Sus scrofa: one gene and its partner. The protein of the gene in region 2 binds, or shares a complex with, the protein of the main gene of each other region. Links are inferred from orthologs where the notes say so. Each region holds a gene or a part of one and is shown on either strand. Other genes may lie near its edges.

What was found. The genes of interacting proteins can lie anywhere in the genome.
Region 1: SKP1 (region 2) and TRIM21 share a complex: the UniProt entries of both Homo sapiens proteins name them as parts of the SCF(SKP2)-like complex. The link is inferred for Sus scrofa from reciprocal best matches to the Homo sapiens genes SKP1 and TRIM21.

Annotation. Positions count from the first base shown.
Region 1 is NC_010451.4:5,788,107-5,791,256, reverse strand, and holds the end of TRIM21 (E3 ubiquitin-protein ligase TRIM21), read right to left. Parts: intron 2,358-3,150; coding exon 2,257-2,357; intron 1,995-2,256; coding exon 1,474-1,994; coding exon of another isoform or gene 1,445-1,473; 3' UTR 629-1,444; downstream 1-628. UniProt on the Homo sapiens protein: E3 ubiquitin-protein ligase whose activity is dependent on E2 enzymes, UBE2D1, UBE2D2, UBE2E1 and UBE2E2.
Region 2 is NC_010444.4:136,473,746-136,477,497, reverse strand, and holds the start of SKP1 (S-phase kinase-associated protein 1), read left to right. Parts: upstream 1-1,133; 5' UTR 1,134-1,589; intron 1,590-3,752. UniProt on the Homo sapiens protein: Essential component of the SCF (SKP1-CUL1-F-box protein) ubiquitin ligase complex, which mediates the ubiquitination of proteins involved in cell cycle progression, signal transduction and transcription.

The sequences.
Region 1 (3,150 bases), on a different chromosome or scaffold from region 2:
ATCATTACATTATATGCCTTAAACTTAGAAAATGTTACATCTTAATAAAGCTGGCAGAAAAAAAAATATACAATGGAGTATTTTCAATCATACAAGAAGGAAGTCCTGCCTTTTGTGACAACATGAATAAACCTTACATTATCCTAAGTGAAATGAGCCAGGCACAGAAAAACAAATACTCTGGGATTTCTCTTATATGTAGAATCCAAAAAATTGGAACTCATAGAAATAGAGTGGGCATGGAAGTAGGGGAAACAGGGAGATGTTATCTCTACACTACATCTCCAAACACACTTTTAGTTTGGAGATCTAAAGTAGAGCGTGGGGACTATAGTTTAAAATATGATATTGTATACTTGCAATTTGCTAAGAGTTGATCTTAAATGTGCTCATTATACACACAAAAACAGTACGTGTGGGGTGATGAATTAATTAGCTCGATTGTGGTAATTGTGAACGGAAGTTTGGCCCTTGCCATCAGCCTCTACTGGGAGTAAAACACGAGCCACTGCATCTGCCCACCCGCAGCACCCCCTGAGCGGAGCGTGGGGTGGGGACCAGCAGGGAGGCCCTCTGTGCTCTGGGAAAACTGGAAGAACAGATCCTCAGAGAGTTAGGTATTTTTAGGAGAAGATACGGCTGGGAGGTAGTGAGGGGAGTAGGGGAGCCAGCAAGCTGGGTATTTAACAGGGTGATCTAAGGCGTGCGTAATTCAGCCTTTATTTTATTTTCTGTAATTTTTAAACTTCATTTTTATCTTTTAATTTATCTTTTTCTTCTTTTGGCTGCCCCTCGGCACATGGAGTTCCTGGACCAGGGATCATATCTGAGACGCAGTTGCGACCTGAGCTGCAGGTGCTGCAACGCCGGATCCTTAACCCACTGTGCGGGGCCGGGGGTCCAACCTGCATGTCCCAGCGCTCCCAAGACGCCGCCAATCCCATTGTGCTACAGCGGGAACTCCTCAGCCTTTATTTTAAAAGGATGGCTGCTAATGGCTCTTTTTCCGTAGCAGCGTGGAGCCATCCGTGATGAGACGTGACCATGTCGGAAAGCTAATCCCAGAGGTGTACGAGACAAGAGTGGTGGGGCAGACGGAGGCCCAATTTATTTAGGAAGCCCTTTGCAAGATCTACAGGAGAGATCTGAGCAGAGGCCCGGAGATGGAGAGGAGAACATGCTTCAGTTGATCCAGATGAGTTTGGGGCCAGATACGAGTGGCTGGCTTATGGAGGGGCTCATGAAGCAACGGAGGGCAGGAATCTGGGTGTTGAAGGTCATTTGACACAGACCCCCCGTGACCTCTCTGCCAGCGTTTGCTTGCTGATATCCTGACACCTCTGCAGAGGTAACGGTGGTTGGGCGTCCAGGGGCAAATGAGGCAGGGCTCTTGGCTGAGAGGGGGGCTAACAGAGAAGCGCTGCCACCGACAGTCTCTGGATCCCTACCAGCCCGTCCTCAGTGGACAGAGGGTCAGGGGGGGTGCATTTCTTCCACCGTCATTGAAACCAGGATTGAAGAAGGGCCGAACGGGTCCAGCGAAGCACATTCTGAGAAGCTGTAGATGAGGGAGCCGTGGTCACTGATGTTGTAGAAGGAGACGGTGCTGGCATCGTAGTCCAGGAAGATCCCAACGCGGCTCGGAGGCACCTGAGGGTAGAGGGGAGTCTGGGTGCAGGTGCCAGCCTCATATTTTTGTTTGTTCCACAGCCAGATGGTCCAGAAGCCATTGCTGGGGTTGAGCAAAAAATGTCCCTTCCTCTTCACGGAGTCTCGACACACACCCAGGTCCCAGGCCTCCTTGCCGGCCACATCCACCTCCCAGTAATGTTTCCCAGAGTTGAAGTGCTGGGCACCCAGGACCATGGGGTAGGTATCAAATCTCTCCTCGTTTTCGGGCACTTCCTGCCGGGTCTCTCCAAGCCTCACTTGTCGCCGATTCTCTGAAAGGACGAGCCACGGACTGGCCGTCAGTGGGTCCAGAGTGATGTGCACTGGAGAGAGAGGCCCGTGGTCAGGCTGGGAGAGCGGGGGGAGTCAGTAACCCTGAGTCCGGGGTGGGGGATGAGGAGGAAGTGACCCCCGGCCAACTCCGCCCCTTGCCCTGACCTTTGGGGGAACCACCTCCCCTGTCTCCACCCCCGCCCCGCCTACTCCCACCTGCCATCTCTCCCCGACCCTGGGAGGCACTGGGCATCCCTGTCCTCCCCTCTGCTCCTGGGCAGGCCAGTCCCACACCGCTGGTGCCGGCCTCACCTGCATATGACCTCAGCATCCTCTTAATCCCGGGCACATAGCACAAGCTGCTCAGGTCTGGGAAGCCGATGTTCAGCTCCTTCAGGTTCCAAGACTCACTCCTGGGGGAAAAAGAGTTAGAGACCCCCTCTGCAACTCCTAAGGAACCCTCTCCCTATTATCACCTCTGCGGATGACTGGTAATTCAATGCAAATGTGCAAACTCCTCCCGTGCTGCTGGGGTCCCTCGGGGTGGAGGGCGAAGGGAGGTAGGATGCAGTTTCCACCCAAGCACATCCTGTTCCATTTTTACGTTCAAGGCATCTGATACAGGCTGCATCACTTCCCTGAGGGACCTCATGCTGCGGGTCTTACCCAGGGCCCGTTCTGGGAGGTTTGAAACTGGTCAGGTTCTTTTTAAAGCAGCCCCAGCGGGCCGCAGACTCACAGCTTCCCTGCTGGTCAGAACCTCACTTGGTGAAGATTTTATACTCCAAGGACTGGGCACCTCGGCAACGGAGATGTCCATTAATCAGCCTTCTGAGACCAGAAACTATTTCAGCGAGAACTGGGTCTTTGAGAACAGGGAGAAGGATGGGGAAAACCTCAGTGCTTTTTTTTTGGTCTTTTTAGGGCTGCACTCATGGCATACGGAAGCTCTCAGGCCAGGAGTCAAATTGGAGCTGCAGCCGCCGGCCTACAATCCAGCCACAGCCACAGTCTTGCAGGATCCAAGCTTAATCTGCGACCTACACCACAGCTCATGGCAATGCCAGATCCTTAACCCCCTGAGCGAGGCCAGGGATCGAACCTGCATCCTCATGGATGCTAGTTGGGTTCGTTTCTGCTGAGCCACAAAGGGACCTCCAAGGGCACATTTTTAAACCTGAAAACCTTTCCCACAGGTGACTATGT
Region 2 (3,752 bases):
CTGAGAGCTGTAGGTCCTTTCATCTTCCCGACATCAGCTGTGGCACCTGGCAGACACTGGATACCACAGCTTGGAGACAAAGACCTGGTAACCCAAGGAGCTGCTTGGTCTCCCTGCCCAGTCCCATCTCAGAAGAGCTGCAGGCTTCTGATTTCTTTAGGGGGCCCTGTGTGGAAGTGTCCTTTGTCTCCTTGGCGTCAGGAATACCATCACGTGCCTGCTGGTTAGGTGAGCCTGGCGCCTTAGTCTCCTCCAGAGGGGTGGCATTGTTCTCTAAACAGAGCAGGGTAGAGCAGGTCAAAGTCCCTGACTGGAGAGGGTGGGAGTGGGAATTTGCAGACTAACCCCTTTCCCTTGAGGGTTGGTTTCATCTTAGGGACCCTAACACAGCCTTTAGGGAGCATCCCACACAAGGGCTCTCTGCAGGCTGGACTCTGGCTGCCTCGTTCGCTGCCGAATTCCTAGCACCCATCACCTCGCCCTCCCCCCACCCAATACACTTTTGCTAACTTGGGGTTTCCCTGAAACAGTGGTTACTTTGGATTGGAGGCCTCTTCAGAAGTCGATAGGAAATCAGAGTTGAGAGTATCAAACAATCCTTGCTCTGCCACTGAACCGTTTTGAACCTGTTCCCTCACAAGTCAAAGAGAAAAGGGTAATGGTATTTCTTCTTCTTTTTTTTTTTTTGTCTTTTTGTCTTTCTAGGGCCGCACCCAAGGCATACGGAGGTTCCCTGGCTAGGGGTCGAATCGGAGCTGTAGCCACCGGCCTACACCAGAGCCACAACGTGGGATCCGAGTCGCGACTGTGACCTACACCACAGCTCATGGCCACTCCAAATCCTTAACCCACTGAGCGAGGCCAGGGATCGAACCCGAAACCTCATGGTTTCTAGTCGGATTCGTTAACCACTGAGCCACGAGGGGAACTCCTGATATTTCTTCTTATGCATTATTGTGGAGAGTGAGCTAACTCATGTAGGGTTCAGGGGAGGACACTGAGGCCCTGAGCAAAATCTCACAGCGCTGGCTGCAAAGATCAGCGCCCTTTCTTTCTCAGAGTCCCAGTTTCCCCATCATGAAAAGGAGCTGCAGCCCCTCCCAAACACCACCCCTAACACAGACGCCTCTCCCTCCCCACTCCGCCCCTCTCTCCCCGCTACTCCCCGCGCTCTCCCTCCCGGCCCCTCGCTCCAGGTTTCTAGGCTTTTCGGGACTGGGGTCTTTAATTCGACTTAGGCCAGCTCCCGCCTGAAAGACCCTTGCAGGCCGTGGAGTATCTGAGCCAGTCCCCCGTTTCCGCTTTGAGGGGAGTGAGCGCCGCTTTCGAGGGAAGGGGTGAGACTCAAGGCCCGCCGCGCCTCGCCCCGCCGGTCTGCGCCTGCCGTCAGGCGATCTCGGCGGCCAGCCCTGCCGTCTCTGTGACGTCACGGGCCCCGGGGTCCTCGGCGCCTGCGCCCGCTGCTATAAAGGCGACGCCGCGCCACTCGGTTGAAGTCGCCTTGTGCGTCGCTTTTCTGTCTCTCCGGTTGCGGACACCGCCCTTCTCTCGTCAGCCTCCGGCCCGCCATCTCCTTGAGCCCAAACACCGTGAGTACCCGCCGCCTGAGCTGAAAGGGGGCGGTGGCGCCGCAGATTGCGAGCCGCGGGCCGCCCCGCTGCGGCTTTGGCCTTGCTCGAAACGGCAGGCACCTGGGCCTGGCCTTCCCTCAGGCCCGGTGAAAGCCGTCGTCGACCCCATTCTCCCGGAGGTGCCATTCACCTCCCACACCGCCCCTCGACTTGCCGAGGCCTCTTTTAGCCGCTAGTCTTCACCGCGCCCAGGCGGGCGGGAGGGAGAAGGTGTGAGCGGAACCGGGATTGGGCCTTCTCTGCGCGGGGCGACCCTCAGCCGTCGCGGAGCAAGGCTGCAGGCCCAGGCTGCGGCCGGGGCCTCCCTCGGCGGTTGAGCCCATCGGCCCCGGGAAGCCAGGGCGAGGGTGGTGGCGGGGCTTTTAATGGACTTCTCTGGGTCGTCGTGAGCATGGGCGTTTGTCCGTTTGTTGTTCGGGTGTCCCAGAGGAAGCGTGGTAGGGTCGTCCCGCAGCTGGATTCTTGGCTCTCAGTCTTTCTCGCCCCTGTGTCTGGCGTCACTCGTCCTGGTTAACTGCGCCGGAGCCGAATTTCGGCAGAGAGCTGCCTGCTCCTTCGGAATATTTGTCGCCCATTATTTTGCCACAGCCCGCGGTTGTTGAAGCAATTGTTGGAGTAGCAGGTGCCATCGCCACAGTGGTTTGGCTTTTAGGTGCACCAACTCCGTAAACTTACTAAGAGGTTTTCGAAGGGATAGGATGTTCACCTGCTTTGGTTTGCTTTTTAATGGAGACTAAAGGTTGGAGTTTGGGCTCATGAATGTTTTCATGAGAGCGTCACAGCAGAATGTTTGTGTGTCATAGAGCAACGCAGATTTCACTTTGCCCTATAAGAAGAAGTGTCAGAACTTCGGGTCACTTAAACAGGTTTTTTTTCTTTTATGATGTTTGATAGACCCCTCCTCCTGGAGGGTGATTTAACTCAAAAGTGCCGGCGCATACGGAATTGAAGGAATGGTCTGGAGAACATACCACATCAAAGTTTCATGGATAATTATAGAAAAGTTTTGCTCTGATTTCCAGCTGTATAACGCTAAAAAAAATTTTTTTTTGAGTATTAAGTTTAGCTTACAAAGTGCATCGAATTACAGATTAACCGATTGTTTCCCTGCTATTTATTTAGTAAGATCTCAGTTAAGAGTAACCTAATACACGAATTTGACTGTGACTAAGCAGATATGGCTGTTTATCAAAAGTTATTTGAAATATGAAATGTTCGTCTTGCTTAAAAGTAATTTTATCAACTGCATTTCCAGACTTGTGATTTTATAACGTTCACTCCAGTGTTGTGGAACAGTCATAGAGCATAGAATGTTTTGTAATTTAAAATTGAGCTCATGTTAAAGTATTTCTTTAGGGGGATATCTTTTGCTTTTGCCTTGTCGCAAGGAAGGTCCTCTGCTCTGGGCGTTTCTTCATGGAGCAGGACAACTGCATTATTGGCAGGCACTGAGTAATATGGAGAAGCAGACATTTGTGAACTGAAAAGTGAAATCTGATTCTCTGCAACCATGGATGAGTGTGAGCTGGATATTTCAATGGCTGGTTTTAAAACAGCTTTACCTTTTTGCTTCCTTGCCCTAACACCTTTGTCTCTTTGGGGAATGGAGACAGTTGTGTGGGAAAAGCTGAATATTGTAACCGATTTAACGGGTCCTAAGTGTTGGGGCCTAAAATAGGTGCAGTCAGTGTTTTGAATGCCAAATTCTGTATTTTTAAGTTAGAGTGATATCAGAGTATTATTACGAACATCTCAGATGCACGGGCCTTTTAAAAACCTGTTACAGAAACTTAAAGAGATCTTGAGTTTTTACAGTCAGGTGTTGCTGCCGCCCACCCCCCATGCCTCTCCCCCAAGAATCTGAAGACGGTAAGAAATTGCTGGCTTAGAAGCTTAGAACTTTTAATTCTAAAGAGGTTTTGTTTTGTTTTTGCCAAAACTCAAGTCCTTTGAAGTTAAATGCTTAATTAACTTTTATGTAAGAAGTGTCTTTTTCCTAATGACTCATAATCAGTGTGAGTTAATAAATTCATTTTGGCGGCAAGTAAAAGGCTGTTATTACTATGAGGATTTTGGCATTCGATCTCAAACTTGGGACGCCTAGACAGTCAGTAAAGAAAG